Macaca fascicularis: one gene and its partners. The protein of the gene in region 4 purifies or fractionates together with the protein of the main gene of each other region. This does not show direct contact. Links are inferred from orthologs where the notes say so. Each region holds a gene or a part of one and is shown on either strand. Other genes may lie near its edges. The genes, in order: RAN, POLR3F, POLR1E, KPNA2, NCBP1, CHD4 and SMARCB1.

Region 1 (4,112 bases), on a different chromosome or scaffold from region 4:
AGCCCAGATTGCGTCACTGCACTCCAGCCTGGGGGACAGAGCGGGACTCCATCTTGGGAGAAAAAAAATCATTTCCATATATAATAGACACTGGTCAATTTCATGGTCTTACATACAATCTCCGCTAAGAGAAATAACTCAGGAAGTTTTAATTTTACACACCTGAAGATTCTTCTTTCGGTGGAAGACAATGGATTTCGCCTTCACTTTCCTGTCCTTAATGTCCACTTTGTTACCACACAACACAATGGGGATGTTTTCACACACTCGCACCAGATCTCTATGCCAGTTAGGCACGTTCTTGTAAGTAACTCTCGATGTTACGTCAAACATGATGATGGCACACTGGGCTGAAAGAAACAGTTGCGGTAATTAGTACACTCAGTTTACCACACAAGTGAAGAATGCTAAGAACCGCAGACTAGGATTCAACTATAGTCTTAGACCTCAACGAGGCACCTAGATCTCTCCCCTCACTTTCAAAGTCTCTTTCAATTCTAAGAACATTAACACAGAACTCTTCCTAAGAAAGATGAGCTGATTCTATCAAATCTCCCTGATAAACTTCACCATTAATACTCCCCTCATCCCCAAAACACTATCTGAAGTAATTAATGCCAAGTGAGATTCTGGAGAACCAAGCTGCCATATTCTGAGGGTAGGGCCTGGAAATAGTCTTCAGAAAGTCTTTAAATGGCCGACTATACTAGGAAATATCATTCCTGTCTTAAAAATTCCAAATAGGCCAAGCGATGTGGCTCATGCCTGTAATCCCAGCACTTTGAGAGGCTGAGGTGGGTGGATCACCTGAGCTCATGAGTTCCAGACCAGCATGGGCAACATGGTGAATCCCCATCCCTACAAAAAAAAATACAAAAATTAGTCAGGCATAGTGGCAGGTGCCTGTAGTCCCAGCTACTCAGGAGGCTGAGGCTTAGGAGGCGGAAGCTGCACTCCAGGTTGGGCAACAAAGCAAGACCCTGTCTCAAAAAAAAAAAAAAATTAAATAACCCAGATAAAGTCTATATACTCACCTGCAGGAATAACTATGGTACAGTTAGTAAGGCAAGAAACCACAACTTTTTGGTTAAAGGATTTTTTGGGGGGGAAATTCTTGTGTTTATATGTACATGTTCAAGGAGAGCAAAAGGCATGGAATGATTCCAGATAATGTGTTATTAGCAACGTGAGGTTCCAGGAGAGATGAGTATTTTGTTTATTCCTCTCTTTTTGGTACAATGAACATTTTCCTTGAGATTTTTAAATCAAACTATTTGAGAAAAATACTCTGCACAACTTACTACAAACAATTTAACAAGAAATTGGCTAGTCTTGTATAACACTTGTTAAGACCTCCTATCTCCTCTGGTCTAGTATCTGGTGTTGCTTTGTAATGGACTAGAAATATTCATTGATCGCCACACCAAACTACACACAAGAACCTAAGTTTTCAAATACTGAAACTGCTGTTAACAGCCTGTTATTGTTTTAAAGATGACTTATAAGTTCCAGTGTAAGTCATAGGTTTTTCTAAACCATGCCTAGCATGACACAGCATGCAACTTTCATAAAATTTTCTCCTCTGCCACCAAAATGGTGGTCAACTCCCTGAAGTCCACGTCTTTTTTTAACCCAGAAATGACACAATTCCCATTACAGTATTAAGCACTATTTGTTGGAACAGACCTGAGTTTCTATAACCTTGAAAACTGAAGTACACAAAACCTCTCAAAAACTGTTCAGCAAGTTACAAATGCCTACCTTGGATATAATAGCCATCTCTCAGTCCGCCGAATTTCTCCTGGCCGGCTGTGTCCCATACATTGAATTTAATAGGTCCTCTGTTGGTGTGGAACACTAGGGGATGAACCTCAACACCCAAGGTGGCTAAAACGGAAACGACATGATTGAGTGGATGAATTTACCCATTTCTCACGTATTTCCACAAGCAAGGTTTTCCTGCACATACCTACATACTTCTTCTCAAATTCACCAGTCAAATGACGCTTCACGAAGGTCGTTTTTCCAGTACCACCATCACCAACCAATACAAGCTGTTGGAGAACACATTTGGAAGTAAACCCAAAACACTTCACCTCTCAAGATCCCAGAGTCATGGAACTTTAACCATCACAGGCTCACTTAAAACAAAGAATATGGATGCGGGGCCCCGTTACAGCCATCGTGGGTCCGGGAGGAGGGACCCGCGAGTCGCACGCGGTCGGACTCGGCCGCCTCCCGCCCCGCAGGGTTACCTACTTTGAACTGGACCTGGGGCTCTCCCTGCGCAGCCATCGCGGCGTTCCTGCGGAGGCAGAGGACGGAGGCGAGCGCTCGCGCGGCCCCGCAGCCCATGGCGGCCCCGCTCCCGCGCCCCCAGCGCCCCACGTGCCCGCCCCACAAAGGCCTCCCGCCCGCGGCGCCATGGCGGCCGGGCCTCGGAGCGGGAAGGCGGCGGGCGGGGCCGGCATCCGGGGCGGCGGGGCGCGGGGAACGGCGGACGGAGAAGTCGGGATAGGGACGGGACTGAGACCGGGACGGGAATGAGAGCGGAGGATGAAACGGGGGTTCGCGGGGGCGGGCGCCGACCCCATGCCCGTCTCCTGCCCCGGCACGGCCGGGCCCGCGCCACCCACCTACTCACAGCCGCCCGCTGTCCCTGGGCCCGCCACCTGCCCCGGCCCTGACCCCGGCTCCGGCCCCTATCCCGCTGCCGCCGCCCCTGTCCCCGCCCGGCCCTGCCCTGCCCGGCCCGCCGCGTCTCACTACCTTCCAGAAGCGTCTCCGCGCCCGTCCGACTGAGGCTGGAAAGATGGCGGAAGCGCAATTCAAACGCCGGAGACGCAGCCGACGCCGGCGCGCGGGCAGGGGCGGGGCCGACGGGGGCGGGGTTGACAAGGGGCGGGGCAACGGCACGGCGCCCGCCCACGTGGCCCGCGCGTGCGCGCGCGCACGCACGCAACCTGGTTCAGTCGGCCGCTGCGGCCGGCGCTGCGCTTAGGGTGGGGCGGGAGGCGCGATGGACCGCGTGGGAGGGCGAGCCGGGAGCGCGCACGCATGCCGGCCCGTGGGGGCCACGTGCGCCGACGCCCAGTGCGGGCTCGGGGGCGCGCATGCGCTGACAGGGAGGCGGCGCGCCCCTGGGCGGGAGTCGTTGGGCGCGGCCGGACTGTCGCGGCCGTGCTACCTCTTGGGTGGGAGGCGGTACTCGCTTGGGCAGACGCGGTCAGGCACGCGGCTTCCAGGCGCTGGCCAGCCAGTCCTTGTCTGTGCCCCGTGGGGTTGGGGTACTTGGGGTCCTGGGGCTTAGGATGGCGCTCGCGTGCGCGCAGGACGGGTGAGTGACAGAACGGATGAATGAATGAAGGGATCCTAGGCTGGGCCTCCAGAGTCAGCCCGCGGCTCTGTCTCTCCAGATCGCAGCCTTCACGCCCCCAGGACCAGGGCCAGTTGGAGAGCGAGGAACCAGAGAGGGATGCCCCCACCCCGGAAAATGGCTACTTATTTTTTTTTAAGAGACAGAGTCTCGGCCGGGTGCGGTGGCTCACGCCTGTAATCCCAGCACTTTGGGAGGCCGAGACGGGCGGATCACGAGGTCAGGAGATTGAGACCATCCTGGCTAACACGGTGAAACCTCGTCTCTACTAAAAAATACAAAAAACTAGCCGGGCGAGGTGGCGGGCGCCTGTAGTCCCAGCTACTCGGGAGGCTGAGGCAGGAGAATGGCGTAAACCCGGGAGGCGGAGCTTGCAGTGAGCAGAGATCCGGCCACTGCACTCCAGCCTGGGCGACAGAGCGAGACTCCGGCTCAAAAAAAAAAAAAAAAAAAAAGAGAGACAGAGTCTCGGTATGTTGCCCAGGCTGGTCTCGAACTCCCAGGCTCGAACGATCCTCCCGCCTCAGCCTCCCAATTAGCTGGGACTACAGGCGCGCACCACATCCGGGGTAATTTTTTTTTTCTTTTTTTTTTTTTTTTAAATTTTTAGGGACAGGATCTTACTATGTCTCCCAGGTTGGCTTCAGGGGATCCACCCGCCTCGGCCTCCCAAAGCGCCCAGCTTCTCAAAGCGTTTCATAGGTTGGCAGCCTTGGCCGCTGCGTCCTACAAACAA
Region 2 (3,500 bases), on a different chromosome or scaffold from region 4:
ACTATAATAGGGCCCGCTTTGTGATCATCAAGTTAGGAGTAGTAGAGAGGCCTTTTACTGTGGCATTAAGATGACCATGCTCACCTGTCTGCTGGGCAAAAGGTCATCACCAGGTAACACAGGAAAACAGGCAGGGAGACCTATACATATGAATGACTTGATTTTGATTTACCGAATGTTTCATGTTTAGCTACCTTTTTGTGAAGGGTGCAAAATAGAATTCCTAATATGTTAGCCTTTTGTCTACAGATTGAAACCAGGGCATAGAGAGCTTAGGCATATAGACAAAGGCTGATATAATGAAATAAAACACACGCAGGCTCATGACTATAAATGCCATGAGGACTGGAACAGTGTCTTATACTTTCTCTTGTATCCTTAGTGACTAGAGCATAGAGTTGGCACTTATAAAATTTGGGAACGAATGAAGGAGGAGTGCTGGGGCATGCTGCAGGGGAAAGACATGATCTCTGGGTTTGAATCCCAGTTACTTCTAAGCTATAGGCCCCTAGGTCTTCCTAAGCCTAAGCTCCCTCACTTTTAAGGGGAAGTAACACCACGAGCTTCAAGAAGGTAAGGAAGATTAAATGAGACCACCTATGGAAATCATCAAGGACACACCTGGCCCAAGGTAGGTTCTCAACAAATCTCATTTTCTGCCCTATTTAGGTGAAATGATTAGCCCTCATCAAAAAGTGTCCATTTCAAGGCCAAGAGCAGAAAACGCAAATATCCTTAATGTGGTTATTCCAAGAAAGAATGTAAAGCAGGAGGCTGGATATGGTGGCACATGCCTGTAATCTCAGCACTTTGGGAGGCCGAGGGGATCACCTGAGGTCAGGAGTTCAAGACCAGTCTGGCCAATATGGTGAAACCCCATCTCCACTAAAAACACAAAAAATTAGTTGGGCATGGTGGCGGGTGCCTGTAATCCCAGATACTCGGGAGGCTGAGGCAGGAGAGCCGCTTGAACTTGGGAGGTGGAGGTTGCAGTGAGTCAAGATCGTGCCACTGCACTCCAGCCTAGGCGATAGAGTGAGACTCCATCTCAAAAAAAAAAAAAAAAAAGAATGTAAAGCAATGATTTGTTCATTAAAGGTCTGTTCATCAAGGTTTCACAGAGGTTTGAATAGCTCTTGGTCAACCCTAAGAGTCTGAGAAAACTGGGGTGTGCTTGCTCTGTTTCTTAATGTGGCACTTGCACCCAGGGGCAGTCAAGTGTAAAGTGAAGCCACTGTAACTCACCGGGCAGAGTCCACAGGGTGCCCGGACCAAACCCGTGGGAGGGATGATTGGACTGACTGCCCTGTACAGTTTCATGTGTCCGTCTACACTGCCAACTGTGCCTTCTTTTGCAGCGATGATCGTCATCTCCACTTTTCCATCATAAATGAGTGTATTCAGGATGGTTTCAATGTCCTCCATGGATAACTCTACCTAAAAAAGGGATACATCAGAAAGGACACAAATAGGACAGGGAGATATCCACTTGGAGGGTGTTAAAACAGTAAACGGTTGCTGGGCGCGGTGGCTCACGCCTGTAATCCCAGCACTTTGGGAGGCCGAGGCAGGTGGATCACCTGAGGTCAGCAGTTTGAGAGCAGCCTAGCCAATGTGGCAAAACCCCATCTTTACTAAAAATACAAAAATTAGCTAGGTGTGGTGGTGGGCATTTGTAATCCCACCTACTCGGGAGGCTGAGGCAAGAGAATGGTTTGAACATGGGAGGCGGAGGTTGCAGTGAGCTGAGATCACACCACTGCACTCCAGCCTGGGCAACAAGAGCCAAACTCCATCTCAAACAAATAAATAAAACAGTAAAGGGTCACAATTCTTCTGTGAAATGGGAGAAACATTATGCTGGGGTGGAGTAATTTGAAGCACAAAGAGGAGGAACAATAGTCCAAGTTAGCACAAACCACTGAAATGCCAGGGACAGAACTCTAAGCGCATGCTGAGTTTGACACTTTCTGGTATTTTTTACTTCTTAAGTAAAATCTAGAAATCTTATAAAAAAGTAGCATTTCTTTAGCAGGAATTTATTGGAGATTTATAAAATGCTTGAGCAGAAAGGCACTTTAAACATCAAATAGTCCAAGTTCCTAGTTTTTATTTTTTTATTTTTATTTTTATTTTTTGAGACGGAGTCTCGCTCTGCCGCCCAGGCTGGAGTGCAGTGGCCGGATCTCAGCTCACTGCAAGCTCCGCCTCCTGGGTTCACGCCATTCTCCTGCCTCAGCCTCTCGAGTAGCTGGGAGTACAGGCGCCCGCCACCTCGCCCGGCTAGTTTTTTTGTATTTTTAAAGTAGAGACGGGGTTTCACCGTGTCAGCCAGGATGGTCTCGATCTCCTGACCTCGTGATCCGCCTGTCTCGGCCTCCCAAAGTGCTGGGATTACAGGCTTGAGCCACCGCGCCCGGCCAGTTCCTAGTTTTTATAAATGAGAAATCTGAGGCCCAGGAAATTAAAATGAAATGTCCAAATGGCCACTTCTTCACTGTGAAAAGCATCAGTGTCCTTAAAAAAAAGAATTTCAAAAGGCTAAGGTACAGTGGCACTTTGGGAGGCCAACGCAGGAGGATCAGTTGAGTCCAATAGTTTAAAACCAGCCTGGGCAACAAAATGAGACCCTATTTCCAAAAAAAATTTAAAAAGCATCAGTGTCCCAAGCTTAGTGTCAGTTCAGACAATGCCCAATGGCAGCGACTGCCTTTGCTTAAGATACAGGACAGTATTTTCCCAAAGTGGATTCTGGAGAATGTTCGTAGCTATCATCCCCCAAAAAACAGTCTGGGTCAAATACATGTTTGGAATATACTGTATGTGATGAAGAATATGTTTTAAAAAATAAGATGAAATTCAGTTCTGACCTTACTGATTCCCAATTCACAGATATATTTCCACACTTCATGTGATGAGGCAAATGAACTATTTCTTTGTATCATTGGGTTCTGTTTGCTTTCTCGTGCAGTTTCTGCCTATAAGGATTGAAACATAAGAAATCTAAGCAAGAATATTGGTGTGTTTTCTGAATACACTTTATACTGAAACCAACAGCAGAACATATTTAGTTTAGTAAAAATTACCAATTTCAGGTTTTTAATTCCTATAAAATATGATAGATTAAAATTCTCTATGAAAAACTTTTTACAAGAGGGTTTGCAGTGATGTTTCTTCAATCATACCTCACCTTGGATTGTAGGAATTTAAAACACTGTTGGTTCAGCACCTCTACAAACTCAGATTCAAAATCCTGGTCACTATACCAGGCTCCGCCAGTCACAGACCGGTCCGGCTGCAGGTTATAGAGCATGTACACCTTCTTTTTTGAGGCCTAGGAAAGAACATGCACAGTTCATGTGTTTATAACAATTTCCAAAAACGAAAAGAAAAACACCTATATTTTGGAACAGTTTAAGACGTACAGAATTATTGCAAGGATAGTACACAGAGCTCCTATATGCTCCACATTGTCTCACCTATTTTTAACGTCTTGGATT
Region 3 (4,022 bases), on a different chromosome or scaffold from region 4:
CTGTACTGTAATGGAAAACTCTTTTGGGGTGTAGGAATCTAGAATTACACTAGAATTTATGGCACAACAGTTTTATGGAGGCAAAATCAAGTAAACGGGAAGGAGACCAGTTGGAACTAGGGCATCGTTGAGAGGGGAGAGTGCAGGGTTAGTAGTTCTCAGCACCTATACAGCAATCTGACCTCTATTGGAGTATGGTCCAGTAAGGCTCAGAAAGGGCCTGGTTTGTAGTTCATTGTTGGGTACCATCACAGGGCCCTGTCTGCATCATGCCAGCCCCCGAGAGTGATATAGTTGAGGTTGGACAATCTTCATTGTACAGACTAGGGGTCAGTGATGGGCAGAGTTACCCAGCCACTCAGTCAAACAGCAGCACAGAGGGATGGGAATCCCAGGCTTCTCTTTCCCAGCCCAGAGCCTTCAACACTACCAAGTTCTTTACCTGTCGTTAGTTCCCAGGTAAACTTCACGCAAGCTTTGACCTACTAGTCACACATTCCAAATTAATGGAGAGAACTGCCTTTTGGAATAAGACAGCTATAAACAAACAAGGTTACAAATGAGGTTTTCAGGAAATTCAAGTTATCTTTCCTTTCCAGCAATGTCTACAGGTGAGGGGAAGGGCTCTATGTCTAATAGGAACACAGGAATCACCTAGTAAACCGCTCTAGATGGCTCCTACTGCCCTTAAGACAGACAGGAAACAGCAGTGCCAGTGCTGCCACCACTCCCAACCCCATCACCCTTCCCGCTGTCCCTTCCCCTGCCATTACCTGCACAAAGTGTTGCATTTGAGGGCTCCAGTACCAAAATTGTTTCCCACATAGGAAAGTCTATCTGTTTCAGCTGCCTAAAATGCAGAGAGGAGAAACTCCATTTACAACCAATGTTGAAAGGTATTAAGCATCATCTCTCTTTTCTACATTTGCTGAGGCTTTTGAATCCAGACTCACAATGGATTAGAACTAGTTCATCTCTGGCAGATGATCCAGCTCCACTCTCTCTAAGGGAATATGGGGTGTCCCTGCGGGGGAAGCAAGACAACTTTTGGAAGAGAAGCCTCAGATGGTGCTAGCTTCTAATGGTATGAAAAGCTCTTGGGGGAATTCTATCACAAGACTTGAGAGAGAGGCCCTGGGCTTCTAGCACTTACAGGCATGCAACAAAGTGATTCTGTAAGCAATCTCTCTTTGGCCCAAAGTCCAAGCCCTTTTTCACCTTCTTTGCCCATCTCTCCCATGGCTGTTCTTTGTATACTCTCAGGACCATGGCTGATTGACTCCCCAATCATAAGCAAGCTTTCCTGCTTCTCTGCATTTGTCCTCGCTATCCTTTTCACTTAGAACACCAAACCTTGACTGCCAAACCCTCGTTCCAGCCTTCAAGGCTCAGCTCCAACATGACCTCCCCAAGGAAGGCATTCTGGCAGAGACCTCTCCTCCCACTGAGCTCACTCTGCCCTGTAATCTTCCGCACGTGGCCTCAGAGCTTTGTGTAAAAGTGTCCCTCACAGCCAGTTCTCATCTCTCTAGAGCAGAGGTTCTCAATCCAGGGAAATCCACTCTGGTGCTACTGGCATCCAGTGAGTAGAGACTAGGGATGCTGCCCCCACAGCAAAGAATTATTGGCCCCAAAAGTCAATAGTCCTGAGGTTAAGAAACCCTGTTCTAGAGTATGAACTCCGAGTGGGGCTAGGCCTGATTTGGCTGTTTTCCTAGAAGCTTGCAGCACAGGGATACAGAGGAGGTTCCATAAATGCTTGTTGAAAGAATAAATGAATGAAAGATGGAGCCTGTCCCCACATCCCAAGTTGCTGGGCATCAGAGTTCTTCAAAGGTCCATTTGCTACTACTCTCCTGTTTCTCCCCTCACTCCCTCCCACACCACCCACTCCCAGGCGCCTTCTGAGCCCTGCAGAGTGGAGGCAGCTGGCAACTGCTTCACTTACCAGGATCCGTTGATTCCTCTTCCTGGGGTTGGTGGAATCTTTGTTCTCATACAAGGTAAAGCGCATGTTGCCCGGACTCTGTAGCTTCCCGTTGGAGAACTGGACTGTAAGAGTGCAGCCCAAGAATCAGGTGAGAGCAGAAGGCCACACAATGTACGGTGGGACTAGACTGTCACTGGGAGGGAGTGAGTGTCAGAATGGGGATGGCAAGGAAGCTCGGGTCCTGACCCAAAGGGAACTAGAGGAGATCCGGGGCCAGCTGAGAAGAGGGGTTAGGGAGGTGGGAGAACCCTGGGGAGGGGCTGTAACAAGGGGGAATGTCTCGCGGAAGGAGGCTGACAGCAGACGCCTGGTCCACACCTAAAGTGACAGAAGGAACCCCTGCCCAGTGAAGAGAGGGAAACGGGGGAGGTGGGAGACCTGGTGGGTGAGGGGACAGCAGGGTCCTGGACACAGCCCTGGGGAGCGGGTGAGTGGGATGTCCCAATCCGGCTGGGCGGTAGTGACAGAAAGACGGACAGGGCAGCCCCGACCGAGCCCAGGAGAGTGGTGGAGACTACAGGCGTCCTGGCCCCGCTGGGGAGAAGCCTAACGGAGTGCGAGGGGACAGCTGAGATACCGAGACGGAAGGGGGGAGGGTTAGAGGAGCACTGCTCCAGCTCTGCAGTCTTTACCCAGTACAGCTCTCTGGCTCCCGTCGGGCGCCCCACAATACTGCCACCTCGCACTCGGCAACACCTCCGCCGCCATCTCGCCTGTTTGTCCGCCAAGTACAACAGTTAAGACAGCAGTAGCCACAAACCCGCTTTTAAACACGCGGGAGCCTACGCCGCGCGGCAGGCCGGAAAAGGCGTGGCCCCAGCCGGGCACCGCCCACAGTGCGCGAGCCGCGTGTCCCCGCCCCCCGCGCGGAGAGGCGCGGTCTCCGCCCACAAGGTGCCACATACTCGCGCGACTGGCCGAGGCGCAGCACGTGATTAGCTCAGCGCTCGCCTGCGCTCTGGGTGTTGTAGGTCCAGAGCCTGAGGCATCCTACGGCTTCAGCCTAAGCTTGCTGTGAGCCTTCTTCCGGCTCAGCACAGTCTAGAGAGAGTGTCGTCTCTCTCCTACCGTGACAAACACGTCTTCCCAAGACCTGAAAGACCAAGTTCAAATTTAGAATTCTCTAACAGGAACTCCTTGAGCCCCAACTAAATGTGGCCGCTGGCAAAAAGCCGCCCCTCTCTAGGACCTCCCACCCACCCACGTGGACATCCAGTTCTAGGTACAAGCTTTGTCCACAGTCCGACAAACAGCGCCCCGCAATGCGCTGTGGCGTGCACACATGTGGCCCGATCAACCCTGAGGTGATGGAACAGAAGCCCAACCAACCCCAGGGCCTTTGGCCAGGAGATTCTGGACTGAAATAGAAGAGGGAGTCCGAGCTGATAGACATGTCCCTTTTTCACTGCGGATTCAACCATTCTTCTGCACGGGGAGTTTTCAGAGCACAAAAAAGGCAAAAGCAGGACCTTTAAGCATGGACCCTGGCCGAGGCCCCCTTTGCCCAAAGATGCGTGCTATTGAAGGGCAAGAACTCAGGCTGACTCCCCTCTGTCTTCCAAATCACCTTCTTTCAGGACTCTTTTCCTTCCACACATCCTCACACCCTCCTCCAACACCCAGAATCCTAGGAATAATCTTAAAGCCTGCAACTTGTCACTCTTTTCTAATTACCCAGTCTCAAACTTAAAGAAACACTGCAAGAACTTTTTTTGCCCTGAACCATTTAGAGTAAGCTGTCAACCTGATACCCTTTCACCCCGAAGACTATAGTATTTCCTACAGACAAGGACGTTCCCTAAATAACAACACAGCCATCAGCAAATTGCCAGGCGCAGAGGCAGAGGCAGTTCTATCCCTTGATTCTAGGAATTTGAGACCAGGCTGGGCAACATAACAAGACCCTGTCTCTACAAAAAAATAATCATTAGTCACGTGTGGTGGCACACGCCTGTCGTCCCAGCTACTCAGGAGGCTGAGGTGGGAGGATTGCTTGAGCCTAGGAGGCAAAGGCTGCAGTGAGCTGTGATGG
Region 4 (3,500 bases):
GCCTCCTAAGTAGCTGGAATTACAGGCGCCTGCCACCACACCCGGCTAATTTTTTGTATTTTTAGTAGAGACGGGGTTTCACTATGTTGGCCAGGCTGGTCTCAAACTCCTGACCTCGTGCTCTGCCCACCTCAGCCTCCCAAAATGCTGGGATTACAGGTGTGAGCCACTGTGCCCAGCCTGTAGACTCAACTTCTATATGTAAAAATCTCTAGAATCTAAAGTTGATGAGTAGGACTTACCTACCACCAATCACTATGACAAAGTGCCATATGCTGGTACGCTTGGATCAATTAGGGATACAACCAGAAGAAAAATATAAGTTATTCAAATTTTTTTTTTCTGAGATAGTTTCACTCTTCCGGCCAGGCTGGAGTGAAGTGACATGATCTTGGCTCACTGCAACCTCCACCCCTGGCCCAGGGTTCAAGCGATTCTCCTGCCTCAGCCTCCCAAGTAGCTGGGATTATAGGTGCCTGCCACCACACATGGCTAATTTTTGTATTTTTAGCAGAGACGGGGTTTCACCATGTTGGCCAGGCTGGTCTCGGACTCTTGACCTCAGGTGATCCACCTACCTTGGACTCTCAAAGTGCTGTGATACAGGCATGAGACACCATGACTGGCCAAGTCATTCAAATTTAATTTCACCAAAATTCAGTATGAAATTGGGACATTAAATCAAGTAAGTAAACAGATGTGATGAGTTCACATAAACGCCCGACTTCGATTCAGGTCCCATCATCCACTTGTCATCTCTTTCATCTTTGATAATGCCTGCCACATTTTTAATCAAAGGTGTGGCCCACCTAAACAGGCTTTCTGAATCTGTGGCTTACTAGTGACTAAACTTACAACAGTTGCCCTCCCCCAGGTCTAAATAGTAAACTGATTATTATCAAGTTCAAATTCAAACAAAGCCACCTTGATAGGTCTTACCTGAAAGATATTTGAAATGGCATCCAAGATAACCAGAATAATCTTGGTATCTTTTGCAGTTAAGAGGTTCATCAACGGTTCTATTATGCCACAGTGAACAAGGTACACAATCTGCTCAACTGTTCCACCACTAGTGTAGTTGGTCACGGCCCATACAGCTTCCTTTTGTGTCTTAAAATCTGCCTATTAAACATAAGGAAATGGTTTTATTTCAGAAAGTTGCAAGAATAAGTTTCCAGGAGTACTTTTTCACAAAAACAATGACTCAAAGTACCAAGGTTCTATCCAACTGTAAGTGAAAGGGGTTACTGGGTATTTTTCAGCAAAGGACTCCAAGTAGAACCCAAGATTCTTGCACGTGAAGAAGCTTATCAAGCAGAGCTTTCTATAAATACTAAAAATGACTTGATTAAATCCTAAGACTTCATTACCTTAGAGAGAACACTGACAAGGAATGGGACTAATCCATGATTCACAACTTGCTGTATCTGGTCCTGACGGCCAGCTGTGATGTTTGACATTGTCCATGTAGCTTCCTTCTGAATGTTAGTTTTGGGGTTGGTGAGCAGGCTGGGAAAGACAGCGAGCGCTCCTGCATCAATTACAACCTGAGTCTGTTCATCTGTACCAGTGACAATATTCCCTATGGCTCTTAGGGCAGGAGTCTGAAAAAAAAAAAAAAATGTTGATGCTGGTTTTTTCCCAGCACTTCAGAAATTCTGTACCCTAAAAGTTTTAACAAGAGGCCCATCATGGGTATGAAATAGGTAATATTTCAATATTAGTATCAACTGATAATGCTTTTTTTTTTTTGAGAGACAGGAGTCTTGCTCTTGTCACCCAGACTGGAGTGCAATGGCACGATCTCGACTCACTGCAGCCTCTGCCTCCCGGATTCAAGCAATTCTCCTGCCTTAGCCTCCCAAGTAGTTGGGATTACAGACGCGTGCCACCACATCCAGATAATTTCTTTGTATTTTTAGTAGAGATGGGCTTTCATCATGTTGGCCAGGCTGGTCTCTAACTCCTGACCTCAGGGGATCCACCCACCTTGGTCTCCCAAAGTGCTGGGATTATACAGGCGTGAGGCACCATACCCAGCCCTGATCATGCTTTTTATACTAATGTCCTAATCTACAAGTAAATAACTTACCACAATTGGCAATTCAGAAGCTCCTAGAAGCTTCACAAGTTGGGGCACAACTCCTGTTTTCACGACCATGTCAATTCGTTCATTCGGACCGTCAGTAAGGTAGGAAATAGCCCAGCAGGTATCTGCTAATACTTCTGGATCATCATGATGCAGGAGCCGAACTAAGGTAGGAAGAATCTGCTCAACAGCATCTATTGGGGGTGCAGGATTCTTGTTGCGGCAAAGATTTGAAAGTGTCCAGGTAAGATTGCGTAAGTAGCCACACTAGGGGGAAAAAAATAGGCAATGAGAGGTTCTGTCTTTTGAGAAGATGGGGGAAATTAGAATGAAGAAGTGAGTAACTTTATTCATGTTAGTAACTTACTGCTAAAGATGACATATCAGGAACCGCAAGCAGAGCCAACAGTGGGTCAACTGCACCATACTTAATAACCAAGTCTCGGAACACTGAGCCGTCACCTGAAAAAAAAGGCAAGATTAATTTTATTATCTTGTCCAACACCACCAATGTTCAGTGACTGATGCACCAGCAAAAACTCCCAAACGTACTTAGATGCCCCTCTGCTGCCTTTGTAAAGACGACACTTTCATTCCTAATAACGGCTTGAAAGCAAGCTCAAAACTTGATGAAGTCGTTACTATTTATAAGGCCTTTCTTTGAACTCATTACGCTTAGATACATTCAGTCAAAAGAACTTCAAGTCCAAGTACCTGCAATGTTTCCTAGAGCCCAGACGGCTTGTTCACTGATGTGAGCATGGGGAGATGCCAACAGAGAGATGAATGCTGGGATGGCACCTCCATCTACCACAGCCTTGGTCTGTTCTGATGTCCCAGAAGCAATGTTAGTGAGTGCCCAAGCAGACTCAAACTGAATGGGACTACAATCAGTTCTGCCCAAGAAGGACACAAATTTTGGAATCAAACCAGCCCGGATTATGCTGTCTATGGGGGGCTGTTTTTCTCTAGAAAGTAGTTTCCTAAAGGGGAACAAAAAGAGAAATAAAAGTTGAAAGTGGTTAACAAAAGGAGTTTGTGTAAAAACCAATTTAAAATGCAATTCAACAGTTTAGAACTTCAGACAACCTTTTAAGTAAATCACTAAATGCTGAGACATTCTGGAATCTAAGAGAAGCTGAACAGATTACCTATATGGTGCTATATATGCGGTATCATTAACTACCATTTTTCCAAAAATTAATGTAGATTACCCTCCTCTCCATCCCTGCAGAAATCTACAGATCTTGTCACTTTTTAAAAAAACTTTTGACGTTCTGACAGGGTTAGACTCCCATTGTTAACTGAATTTGTTCTCCCTGATAGTTGTGGTTAAGCACATTTTTCTTTTTGAGACGGAGTCTCGCTCTGTTGCCCAGGCTGGAGTGCAGTGGCCGGATCTCAGCTCACT
Region 5 (3,500 bases), on a different chromosome or scaffold from region 4:
GGATTGGGAACACCTATGGTACAAGAAGGCAAAGGGAAGACAAAAATTAAAGCTCAGCTTTATAGATGGGCTATTCAGTACACAGTGGCCACTGTATGAGCTGGGGAAAGGGCAGAAAAAAGGAGGTATGAATGCTACATTAATTTAGGCACTTCCTGGTAAGATATCTGAAGGCTATGCAGCTAGCATCTGGAATACTGGACTGGAGCTCAGGAGAAAGGATGGAGACACAGTTACAGATTTGGGGGTGTCATCAAAATAAAGGTGGCCTATGAAGCTATCAAAGTGAATGAGAATGCTTCAGGGGAGCATTTTAAATTATTTGGTTGTAGCTCACCTTTTCCCTCCATCCCAACAGTAAGTCATAACATACCAACAAACAAACAAACTTACCAAATATACGGCTTCATTATAATTGTTTGCTTTCAATGACTCTTTAAGTTGACGAATCATGGCTTCTACAAATTCTCCACCAAAGTTGTAATTCCTGGCATTCAGCAGTCCAACTAATGTTGTATAAATTGTCAACTTCTCAGGTAACAGACGTGCACTGATTTAAGAACCCAGTATAACGAGAAAACCCCAAAACAATAGCGTTAAGTTGCTGAATTTTATATGAATCTTTTTATCATTCCATTAACTTTGGAACAGGATTACTTTTAGCTGTCTTTAAAAATACTCCAGAAAAAGCATGTCACTGAGAAATGTTACAAACACAGTCCCGTAATTTTTCATTTTAATTCATTAATTAATCCAAGAGTTAAGAAAGTAAATGATTTAATTGTAAAGTTATCTTACTGAAATAAATAAAACTAATGCTACAACAGTTTTTTTTCCAAGTGTGTTTAGTGGAACTGAATAGCATTTCCACAGAACATGGTTTCCATGGTAAAATGTCTCAGAAATCCTGGGTGAAACAAGCCTCTTTAATACAGAATCATTAAGGGGGGTGCGGCATTCAGAATTTCTAAACTTAGCTAACCAAATGTCATGGAAGTAGAATTCTACTTTGAGAAACACTATTCTAGTTGCTTAGAAAAGAGGCACAATTAAAACGAGTTTCATCTAAGTTCCTACCAGCTTAATTATTGAATTTTTTTAAAACGTAGTCTGATATAGTTAAGATTTGCTTACTCCAAGTATGTTGATTTTGTTAAAGTTATTTGAAAAGTATGGGAAAGGATTACAATAAACCTTTAGAAAAAGCAATTTTTCCTAATTTAGGCAGCCTTTAGAATTAGCTCAAAAAGCAAATAAGAACTCATAATCATTCAGTGGGCAAGAGATTCTCTTTGACTTGTTTTCCTAAAGTATCTAGCAGAACATCAGGGACAATTAAGGTCTTCAAAAAAATACCTGTGTTGATGGTAACTGTACTCCCTGAAACCCTACCAAAACCAAAAATTAAAGAAGAATACTGCGAAGCAATACAAGTTCAGCCTTAAACAAACAAGGTTTCCAACAGTTTAAGTATAAATACTACCCCATTTTAATAAAGGATTTCAGAAGATTTCCTTAGTAGTTTCTTAAAGTTACCTTCACTTGATCTAAACTAAAAGGCTGAGAAGTGATAAACGTCACCTTCATAATTTAAAAACACCTCATGGATATGTTACAATTTCATGTTAACTACAAAGACTCCTGTTTATCCAGAGAGTATGCCTATTACTAGTGGCTTCCAAAGCCTCTTCAGTCTTCCAAGAAGAGCTATTACTTGTGTTACCAATTCCCAAATTTGTTTGGTACTACTAATTTTAAAATCTAAGTATCATACATTTAAATATACATGCTTAAAAATATGTATCTGAATGAGACAGTACTCTACAAAAAGTCAACTACAATGATTCTAAGGTTCTAAGAAATAACACACAAGGAAAATGCTCAATTTTAGTTTTATCCCTAAGAAAAAGAGTTCATTAAAGGGCCAAAGGTTGGCTCACTTGTACAAACTTCCCCATAGAAGGAAAGCCAAGGACATATAGAACATAAACATATATTTTAAACATTTCCCAAAGCATTTAAGAGTAGATAATACATTATCACCTGGATTCATAAATCTTTTGCATACATACACTGTACAAAGAAGCCTTAAGATCTTGCTCTTGTAGTTAGGAAGATCAGCTTCCAAAACACCAGCCAAGCCTTCGAGGTTGCTCTCCAAAGAGCAGGCACTCTGTAGAGGACATCACATTAAATATCTGTCAAGTACTCAGCAATATAAATTTACTGTTAAAAATTTATTTAAATGTAAATATATATTTTAAAATCATTTAAAAATCATAACCAATCATCTGTCCTTTTGCTATTTTAGTGTACTAAAATAAAAATTTCCACATGATCATTAAAATAGTCTTACACGCATACAGAGCTATAATGGGTTTAGTATAAATCAATTCAGATAGTTATTGTTCTTTAGAAATCCATGAAAAGTTGATGAGCGAAATTTAAAAACTAAGCAGTCTATGATAGCAGAGTAAGCATTAGAAATGGGAGGACACCATGGGCTCCATTTTACCTCTTTTACTAATTCACTCTGTTACTCTGGGCAAATTACCTCAAGTATTCAGGGTTGATTTAGTTCATGTATAAATTAAGGGGCTATACCCTAGGTCCCTTTTAAGGCTCATCTTCTATGAAAATTATTAATTACTAAATTACTAATAATAATCAATTATCTGCATCCCAGGGGCTTCAACATGGATTCAATTTGGGATACAGATGCATGGTAATACCAGCTTTACCAAAATGTAGTTCAAGTTTTCAGCTGCAAAAATTAATCAAAGCAGTCAACCACATTCTTAAACCCATCACAGCCTGTGCCTATTGTGTGACATACCTTTTCTCCTACTTTGCATATTAAAGATTCCAAATGATCTTCAGTTTCATTTGCATCAGAGGTCTTTCTCCTTTTGTGAGGCTGCCCACCTATTTCAGCAACATAAAAAATTAACATTACACGCTAAATCTGCTATCACAAATTTTATTTAACCTTTTTAGGTTATAATCTGTTTTCTACCAGGCCCTATTTTTCTGACAGAGTAGAAGCTCTTCACAGACCCTCCATTTCTCAGACTAAGCTAGATTAACCAACACCTCCCATTCCCAGAGCCACTATATACAATAACTCCAGGAGGCATTATTTATGTTAAATTTTGTGTGAATAGTGCCCATGGAGCTAAGCAATCAGCAGCCCTGTGCATTTCTGTGGAAAAGCTGGAAAGCTGCCAACAACGCGTTAAACACTAGTAGTTAGAATACTCATGTACTGCTACTCCCATTCTTTCAACTTGAGTTGTTTACTGATCCTCAGTTGCTTGTTCCGAAACCTGTTAGTACCAGTAGTATTCATTAGTCTAATAATGTAATTATTATGTAAATGACAAAATAAGGGTGCAAAACCAAGTCGAATGCTTTGGAAAGACTTGATCGGAAAAAAAAAAGCTGTTATATCAGCTATAAAGAGGAAAGCTTCAAAAGAGGGGAAAAAGGAGCATAAAACA
Region 6 (4,276 bases), on a different chromosome or scaffold from region 4:
TCTTTGGATGGGAGTTGGTAATTATTATGGGATGTTGTAGGGTGAATTAGACTTCATGTAAATGTTTCATCTGTCAGCTTGGTATTTTGGTTGGTTGGTGTTCCTCAAAACTTAGGAGCTGGAGGTAAGCATCTGGAAAATACCTGGATTTTGGTGGGACTAGGTGGGGCCCTAGGTGGGCTTCTAGCCCCCAAGTGTCTGGAAATGATGGTATGAGGGAAGCTGGGGTCCCAGACATGAGGAGGCTTTTTGCCAGGATACTGCTTTGGCCCAGAAAGGGATTAAGGTGTGTGCAAGTGGGGGCGGGGACAGGGAAGCGTGGGTAGCCTGCCTGGCCCTCCCTGCTTTGGGTGTTAGAATAGACTGACAGCGCCTGGAGATGGGGGTGGGAAGAATATGAATATTATGGGATGCCTGGCTCAAAGGGTATAGGGGTGGTGGAGTGGAGATGAAGCATTATGGGATGTGACACTGGGTTGTGTTGGGAGTATTACGGTATGTTTGGTTGACCACGGGCTCCTTGCAATTATTATGGGATGTCAGGATGTGGGTAGGAGAGTAAAATTATTATGGGATAGCTTTCCAGTGTCAGAGGAAAAGAGATTAGATGTCCATCTGTGGGGCGACAGTAGGGCTGTTGATCATTACGGGTTATCTTTTTGATAGAGGAGGGGTACTTACTATATAGGCTGTGGAGCTAGAAGAGGGAAGGGTGGGGGTGACGTGAGCCTCTAGACCCTAGCCTGCAGGGACTGAGGGCAGCCCTAGGGGGTTAGTTATTACGGGATGTCAGTATAGAAAGTGGGAGACTGATTATTATGGGATGTGTGTGGGAGGAGGCCGAGTGTCCGTTGTTGTAGTATGGGGGGGGTGAGTTTCAGACTATTATGGGATGTCAAACTGGGGGTGGATGAAGGATGGTTATTATGGGATGTCTGTGGGGGATGGGGCTGAGTATTATGGGATATGAGGCATAAGTGCTGGGAGGGGTGCTTATTATGGGATGGCCATGGGGAGGGAGGGGTGAATTATTATGGGATGTTAGCATTAGGGCCAAGAGTGAAGAAGTTGGCAAAGGATGGCTATTATGGGATGTCTAAGAGGGTTAGTTGCAAAAGGTCTGCAATATTATGAGATGTCAGCAGCCCCTGGCATATGTGTATGAAATGTGGGGGGGCAGGGTGTGTGTGTGTGTTGTGTGTGTGTGTGTGTTTTTTGGGGGGGGGGGGTGTCCGTGTGTATTATGGGATGGCCAGGAGGTGGGCGGTTGCCCAGGTGACACGCGCGCGCGCGCTCGAAGGGGGCGTGGCCAGTGGTTGCCTGAGCGACGAGGGGGCGGGGGTTGCCCGGGAGACCTGGGGAGGAGGGTGGCGGTAGTGGAAGGGGGGGTTGGAGTTGGTTGAGGTTATTATGGGCTGTCCGTGGGGGGGCGGGGCCTGTGCGGTGGGATTTCCCGGCCGGTGTTTCAGGCCCTTTAAGAGGCGACGCCGGAGCCGGAGCCATTTTCCCCCCTTCGGCCGCGGCGAGGAGGAGCTGGAGCGGGAGTGACACTGAGCCGGACCCAGCGCGACCTGCGGCGGCTCCGGGGTGAGGATAGCGCGGGGTTCCCAAAGAGACGCCCCTCACGGCCCGACCAGCCCCGAGGGTCATCCCGTCAGCCGCCCCTTCCTTAGGCGTCTCCGGACCCGCGGACCGCCCCTTGCCCAGAGGAGCCGACCCTTCCTTTCCTGGCCTGCAGGGCGCCCGGCCTCCTCCCTAGCACCCGCCCTAACCCTGCCGGAGTCTTGCTCCCCGCGACCCCCGCCTTCGGCTTGGTCTCCCACAATGCCCGGCGCCCACCCCCTCGCCCTTTGATCACTTGCCCCCCCGGGACACGTGGCCCGGCCCCCTTCCCGGTGGGACGCTTTAGCCCCCCGCGTCCCTGCCTCCGGCCCCCCGCAGCGCCCGAGCCTCCACGCCCCCTCGTCTCCGCAGCTCTTGAGGAGAACCTGAGTTGTCCCAGAGGACAGCCTTTGGAGAGCTGCCCTGTCTGGGGACTGGCCCCTCCCCGGGCGCAGGGAGGCGCCCCCCCACCCCCAAGTGACCTTGTGTCCCAGAGCGTTTCGCCGCCTGCCGCCTCCCCTGGCCCCCCCGTGCCGCTGCCACTCGGACCCCCTCCCCCGTCACACCCCGCTCGGTCCAGCCCGGCGTCTCCCCTCCCCGCGCTTGCACCAGCCTGCCCTCGGAGGCGTCGCTCCCTCGCTCCGTGGGGGCGCCTGCCGGGGAGCCGGCTTCCGGGCTGCCCCCAAGGAGTGTGGAACTAAGTTCAGCCTGAGCGGTTCGGGTGCCCTGCTAGGGTGGCTGGGGTGGGGGGCGGAAAGAGCGGGTGGGTGTGGGGGAGGGGGACAGTGCGCGTCACTGACTGTTCTCTGTTTCTCCCCCCTCCCCCGCACAGTGACTCGGGCCAGTGTAGAGGGCCCCAGGCCGCCGGCAGGAGCAGCTGGGCCAATTCCCTGGCCGGGAGCGGAAGGGGATGGCGTCGGGCCTGGGCTCCCCGTCCCCCTGCTCGGCGGGCAGTGAGGAGGAGGATATGGATGCACTTTTGAACAACAGCCTGCCCCCACCCCACCCAGGTAACATCTTCCCCAAGGGCCCAGGGCGGGAAGGAGGCATCTGGGGCTCTCCCGAGTGACTGCTCTGGTGAGGCAGGACTGTGTTGCTCGGCTGTCTCTGTGCAGAGCCGGAGGTGGAGGGCATCCGAAGGGAGTGGTTCCCTTCTGCGGAGCTCTGGTGTGAGGGGGGTGGAAGCCATGTGCCTCTTGGGCACCGCGGACGGAGATGCCAGCTTGCTGCACTCTGTCTTGAGGAATGCTCTGCAGTTCCCAGTTGAGGGAGCTCTCTGGGCTGGCAGGCATTACCTTGTGTGTGGGTCCTCGGAGGAATGCAGGTAGCTGGGACCCCTGGAGGCTTGTGGTGGTGGCGGAGGGGGGCATTGAGGATTCTATTTGAAAGACCAGCCCGGCATCTGTGCTAGTAGGATCCTGTGGTTGCCGCTGTGGAAAAGAAAGAGGGAGTGCTGGTTACACTCTATCTGATTATTTTTAGCTTCTGATCAGTTACCGGTTTTCTGTGCTGTCTCAGCTGTGTGAAGTTTGAATCGCGCTCCTCAGCAGGATCTGGAGTGCTTTTAGCCAGGCAGATTGCTGGAATGTTTTGAGTGGGGAAGTGATGGGGGCTTGGGAAGGATGTAATAGCCTAGTGAAGAGGGGCAAAAGAAGGGAGGGCATCTCTCTTCTCTTGGTGAGTGGACATAATTTTGGCTTTTTTCCTACTGGCTTCTGCCTCTATGAGGTAGCCTGGCGTTTAGGCTAGCAGTGTGAAGCGTCTGTGTAGGTGTGCTAGGGGTTGCTCTATCTGTGTTTTGGGGTGGCTCCATGAACTGGCCAAACCCGTATGGTTATAACTACATTGCCTGATTGGGGGAGCCCTTGTCTATCCTCAAATGATGGTTGATGTCATGTTCCTAAGCAGATGTCTTTCTCTTCTGTGTCCTTTTTCAGAGTCCCTAGCTAAGTCATCTACTTGTTTCCTTGACCTTCGTGTTTTCTAGGTTCATTTTTTTTCCTATGTGTCATTTCTTCATTCTTTCTGCTTCTACTTTTCTTCTCATTTTGGAGCCTGCTGATCCTGGTTTTGTTTCTCATCCAGCATCATTCAGTTCTGCCTTCTCTCTTCTTAGCTTCAGCGGAAGTTGAGGTGGTCTGGGAGAGATGCTTTCACATTTGGTACTTTTTAAGTTGGAAGTCTTGACTTCAACCTGAGGCCATTTAGGAGAGGGGTTAGTGTTGTCATGGAGTCTTGGCTGTTGGGATGAGAAACTTGGTTTCATCCTTGTGTAGGGTAGGGGGGCAGATTTCCATGCCCTTGCCCAAGGTGAGGGCAGGGTGGTGGTGCTGGTAAGGGGACCCCGTCCTTCTGAGAGGCGCATGAGAAACAGTAGTGCTGCCTAGACATTGTGGGTTCCACATCTTGGCCTCCCATTGTCCCCTTGGGCTGGGGCTGCCTTTCATGTTGACTGGGAGCTGCGCAGGAGCTGTGAACTCTGTCCTGAGCTGTAGCATGACCCACTTTTTTCACTTGCCACACCCTATTCCTGTCCCTTTCCCAAATCTTCCTCTATATCTCAGTCAGTTTGTTGTTTGCCATTTCAGCATATTATTTGCTTGAGAAGTTTGGGGGTTCCATGTGCATGGAAGGATGTCCCCTTTGCCTCTATGGGTTATCTTTATCTCCACTT
Region 7 (3,500 bases), on a different chromosome or scaffold from region 4:
TGCTGCCCTGAGCACTACCCTCTGCCCCTGAGCCAGTGCGCCTGGGGCAGATTAGTCTAAATCAGTCCCTTTGGAGGCTCTACCCAGCAGGACTTGTAAGTAAAGCACTCAGTCCAGATTGCCCTTTTGGAAGAGGCCAGCATTCGGTAGTAGTGAGTTTGACACCTTGCTTTTCCCACCTCCCGCATGCGAGGACCTTGATGTGCTGCATCCACTTGGCTGGCTGCTGTGTGCCACCGCCACCAGCAGAGTGACCCAGTGATGTCTGTCTGTTACAGATCACGGATACACAACTCTAGCCACCAGTGTGACCCTGTTAAAAGCCTCGGAAGTGGAAGAGATTCTGGACGGCAACGATGAGAAGTACAAGGCTGTGTCCATCAGCACAGAGCCCCCCACCTACCTCAGGTAATGCGTTCCTGGCCAAGGCATCTCTGGGGACATCTGTGGGGTCTTTTCTCAGACTCAAGAACTGGTTGGGTTGAAGTTAAATTGAAACACCTTTTTTTTTTTTTTTGAGATGGAGTCTTGTTCTTGTTGCCCAGGCTGGAGTGCAGTGGCACGATCTCGGCTCACTGCAACCTCTGCCTCCCAGGTTCAAATGATTCTCCTGCTTCAGCCTCCCGAGTAGCTGGGATTACAGGTACCTGCCACCACACCTGGCTAATTTTTTTTTTTTTGAGATGGAGTTTTACTCTTGTTGCCCAGGCTGGAGTGCAGTGGCATGATCTCAGCTCACTGCAACCTCCACCTCCCGGGTTGAAGCGATTCTCCTGCCTCAGCCTCCCGAATAGCTGAGATTATAGGCATACGCCACCATGCCCAGCTAATTTTGTATTTTTGGTAGAGATGGTGGTCTCTCCATGTTGGTCAGGCTGTTCTCAAACCCGACCTCAGGTGATCCGCCCGCCTCGGCCTCCCAAAGTGCTAGGATTACAGGTGTGAGCCACCACGCCTGGTCCTAATTTTTGGATTGAAACACTTTTTAACCGTTCCCTCTGTTTTTATACATTTTCTTAGCCAGATTTCTAAGTTTGTTCTGTATCATTGAAATTTGTAAGAAACGTAAGCCAAGTCCTGGATTCCAGGGAACAGTTATGAATGCTTGGAAAGCGGGACTCTGCGAGGCACAGTGGCTTACGCATGTAATCCCAGCACTTTGGGAGGCCGAGGCATTGCTTGAGGCCAGGAGTTCAAAACCAGCCTGGGGCAACACAGCAAGACCTCATCTCTTAAAAAACAAATAAGTGGGACCAATTTGTCAGAAAAATTAGTGACTCACATAAACTCACAAAAGAAACAACAATAGATTTGAATGTATAAAAACTTAGAACCTGGTTGGGAGTGGTGGTTCACGCCTATAATCCCAGCACTTTGGTAGACCGAGGCGGGCAGATCACCTGAGGTCGGGAGTTCGAGACCAGCCTGACCAACATGGAGAAACCCTGTCTCTACTAAAAATACAGAATTAGCCAGGTGTGGTGGCGCATGCCTGTAATCTAAGCTACTCAGGAGCCTGAGGCAGGAGAATTGCTTGAACCCGAGAGGTGGAGATTGCAGTGAGCCAAGATCGCACCATTGCACTCCAGCCTGGGCAACAAGAGCGAAACTCCATCTCAAACAAAACAAAACAAAACAAAACTTAGAACCTTTAGAAGAGTATTTATAGTAACAATTAAAAAAGCAAGTAATTAGAAAGTTACAATGTTATATCTAGAATCTATACATCTAGATTTATACAACGAACTTGGATACCTCAACAAATAGATAAAAGATGGTCCATACCTTGAAGTACAAGGGAGTAAACAAACATGGAAAGAATTTGCCCTCGTGTAATTTCAAAAATTCCAACCATAAGACTGAGCATGGTGGCTTATGCCTGTAATCTCAGCACTTTGGGAAGTCAAGGCAGGAGGATCACCTGAGTCCAGGATTTGACTCTGTTGCCCAGGAGACCAGCCTGAGCAACATAGTGAGACCTTATCACTACTGAAGGTTAAAAAAATTAGCTGGGTGTGGTGATCACACCACTCTCCTCTAGCCTGGGTAACAGAACGATACCCTGTCTCTTAAAAAAAAAAAAAAAAAGGCTAGGCATGGTGGCTCACGCCTGTAATCCCAGCACTTTGGGAGGCTGAGGCGGGCAGATCACCTGAGGTCAGGAGTTTGAGACCAGCCTGACCAACACAGTGAAGCCCCATCTCTACTGAACATACAAAATTGGCCGGGCATGGTGGCGCATGCCTGTAATCCCAGCTACTCAGGAAGGCTGAGGCAGGAGAATCGCTTGAACCCAGGAGGCAGAGGTTGCGGTGAGCCGAGATCGCACCATTGCTCTCCAGCCTGGGCAACAAGAGTGAAACTCTATCTCAAAAAAATAAATAAATAAGGCTGGGCGCAGTGGCTCACACTTGTAATTCCAGCACTTTGGGAGGCCGAGGTGGGTGGATCACGAGGTCAGGAGGTCGAGACCATCCTGACTAACATGGTGAAACCCTGTTTCTACTAAAAATACAAAAAAATTAGCCGGGCGTGGTGGCGGGCGCCTATAGTCCCAGCTACTCAGGAGGCTGAGGCAGGAGAATGGCGTGAACCTGGGAGGCGGAGCTTGCAGTGAGTCAAGATTGCGCCACTGCACTCCAGCCTGGGCGACAGAGTGAGACTCCGTCTCATAAATAAATAAAGTAAATAAATAAATAAATATAAAAATTCCAAGCATAAAACAAAAAACTGGCAATGTAAGGAATTGGGGAAGGTGTGATGGAGCTGCGCTCATGTGTGCTGGAGGTGCTGGGATTACAGGTGTGAGCCACCGTGCCCAGCCAGGAGTGCCCTTTTTGTAAAGCATCCTGACATCAAATTTTTTTGTTCTCTGGCCCACTAATACCACCCCTAGGAATTTGTCCCAAAGAAATATTTTCAAAGAACAAAATGAATCAATAAACCCACTATATGTACAGAGATTCTTTGTAGCATTGTGAATAATACTGGAGAATATGGAGTCATTTAAGTACCCAGCCTCAAGGAAAGCCTAGGTTACTGACGGGTCAGCTACTTGAATAGACAAAGGTGTGACCCATACGTGGTGTAATTAAGTAGATTCTGCAGTGACCCGAGACGGGTCCTGTGGGTGAGACGTGCAGAATATAAGATTGTACCCATCTACCTTGTGCATTCAGCTCTCGAGAAAGTATGCATTTCTCTGCACAAAGCCCAAGGAGCATTAAGGAAGAAAAAGGATTATTGTTCAGAGTGATGTGGTTATGGAAAATCTTTTTTATGATTCCCCCCAAAGAAAGGTGGCACGCCTCCAGGCTGGCCAGTGTTACAGACGTGTGCTTTGCAGATTCTTTTTCCCCCAAGGGATGTGGTAAGAACATAAGGATGGCTTGGCCTTTCCAGGGAAGTTGCAGAAGGAAATTGTGTGCATATGGATGGCACTTTAATTCTGCACACGTCAGCTGGGAATCTTTTATGGGGCGATAAAACAGTTTCTTGGT

Evidence for each region.
Region 1: the proteins of KPNA2 (region 4) and RAN purify together in Homo sapiens (affinity purification with mass spectrometry; 3 studies listed by BioGRID and IntAct, with this or other methods). This does not show direct contact. The link is inferred for Macaca fascicularis from reciprocal best matches to the Homo sapiens genes KPNA2 and RAN.
Region 2: the proteins of KPNA2 (region 4) and POLR3F purify together in Homo sapiens (co-immunoprecipitation; 3 studies listed by BioGRID and IntAct, with this or other methods). This does not show direct contact. The link is inferred for Macaca fascicularis from reciprocal best matches to the Homo sapiens genes KPNA2 and POLR3F.
Region 3: the proteins of KPNA2 (region 4) and POLR1E purify together in Homo sapiens (affinity purification with mass spectrometry; 3 studies listed by BioGRID and IntAct, with this or other methods). This does not show direct contact. The link is inferred for Macaca fascicularis from reciprocal best matches to the Homo sapiens genes KPNA2 and POLR1E.
Region 5: the proteins of KPNA2 (region 4) and NCBP1 purify together in Homo sapiens (co-immunoprecipitation; 5 studies listed by BioGRID and IntAct, with this or other methods). This does not show direct contact. The link is inferred for Macaca fascicularis from reciprocal best matches to the Homo sapiens genes KPNA2 and NCBP1.
Region 6: the proteins of KPNA2 (region 4) and CHD4 purify together in Homo sapiens (affinity purification with mass spectrometry; 3 studies listed by BioGRID and IntAct, with this or other methods). This does not show direct contact. The link is inferred for Macaca fascicularis from reciprocal best matches to the Homo sapiens genes KPNA2 and CHD4.
Region 7: the proteins of KPNA2 (region 4) and SMARCB1 purify together in Homo sapiens (affinity purification with mass spectrometry; 3 studies listed by BioGRID and IntAct, with this or other methods). This does not show direct contact. The link is inferred for Macaca fascicularis from reciprocal best matches to the Homo sapiens genes KPNA2 and SMARCB1.

What each region holds. Positions count from the first base shown.
Region 1 is NC_088385.1:137,989,105-137,993,216, reverse strand, and holds the start of RAN (GTP-binding nuclear protein Ran), read right to left. Parts: upstream 2,801-4,112; 5' UTR 2,770-2,800; intron 2,306-2,769; 5' UTR 2,296-2,305; coding exon 2,260-2,295; intron 2,055-2,259; coding exon 1,970-2,054; intron 1,888-1,969; coding exon 1,762-1,887; intron 351-1,761; coding exon 163-350; intron 1-162. UniProt on the Homo sapiens protein: GTPase involved in nucleocytoplasmic transport, participating both to the import and the export from the nucleus of proteins and RNAs. Switches between a cytoplasmic GDP- and a nuclear GTP-bound state by nucleotide exchange and GTP hydrolysis.
Region 2 is NC_088384.1:68,804,015-68,807,514, forward strand, and holds part of POLR3F (DNA-directed RNA polymerase III subunit RPC6), read right to left. Parts: intron 3,335-3,500; coding exon 3,191-3,334; intron 2,979-3,190; coding exon 2,871-2,978; intron 1,438-2,870; coding exon 1,246-1,437; intron 1-1,245. UniProt on the Homo sapiens protein: DNA-dependent RNA polymerase catalyzes the transcription of DNA into RNA using the four ribonucleoside triphosphates as substrates.
Region 3 is NC_088389.1:61,840,633-61,844,654, forward strand, and holds the start of POLR1E (DNA-directed RNA polymerase I subunit RPA49), read right to left. Parts: upstream 2,801-4,022; 5' UTR 2,699-2,800; coding exon 2,623-2,698; intron 2,124-2,622; exon of another isoform or gene 2,053-2,123; coding exon 1,949-2,052; intron 851-1,948; coding exon 774-850; intron 1-773. UniProt on the Homo sapiens protein: Component of RNA polymerase I (Pol I), a DNA-dependent RNA polymerase which synthesizes ribosomal RNA precursors using the four ribonucleoside triphosphates as substrates.
Region 4 is NC_088390.1:74,467,001-74,470,500, reverse strand, and holds part of KPNA2 (importin subunit alpha-1), read right to left. Parts: intron 3,073-3,500; coding exon 2,804-3,072; intron 2,552-2,803; coding exon 2,457-2,551; intron 2,357-2,456; coding exon 2,093-2,356; intron 1,605-2,092; coding exon 1,371-1,604; intron 1,123-1,370; coding exon 940-1,122; intron 1-939.
Region 5 is NC_088389.1:60,482,570-60,486,069, forward strand, and holds part of NCBP1 (nuclear cap-binding protein subunit 1), read right to left. Parts: intron 2,926-3,500; coding exon 2,837-2,925; intron 2,174-2,836; coding exon 2,073-2,173; exon of another isoform or gene 2,067-2,072; coding exon of another isoform or gene 2,044-2,066; intron 551-2,043; coding exon 394-550; intron 1-393. UniProt on the Homo sapiens protein: Component of the cap-binding complex (CBC), which binds cotranscriptionally to the 5'-cap of pre-mRNAs and is involved in various processes such as pre-mRNA splicing, translation regulation, nonsense-mediated mRNA decay, RNA-mediated gene silencing (RNAi) by microRNAs (miRNAs) and mRNA export.
Region 6 is NC_088385.1:7,528,353-7,532,628, reverse strand, and holds the start of CHD4 (chromodomain-helicase-DNA-binding protein 4), read left to right. Parts: upstream 1-1,476; 5' UTR 1,477-1,587; intron 1,588-2,201; exon of another isoform or gene 2,202-2,317; intron 2,318-2,434; 5' UTR 2,435-2,512; coding exon 2,513-2,612; intron 2,613-4,276. UniProt on the Homo sapiens protein: ATP-dependent chromatin-remodeling factor that binds and distorts nucleosomal DNA. Acts as a component of the histone deacetylase NuRD complex which participates in the remodeling of chromatin.
Region 7 is NC_088384.1:28,078,284-28,081,783, forward strand, and holds part of SMARCB1 (SWI/SNF-related matrix-associated actin-dependent regulator of chromatin subfamily B member 1), read left to right. Parts: intron 1-278; coding exon 279-408; intron 409-3,500.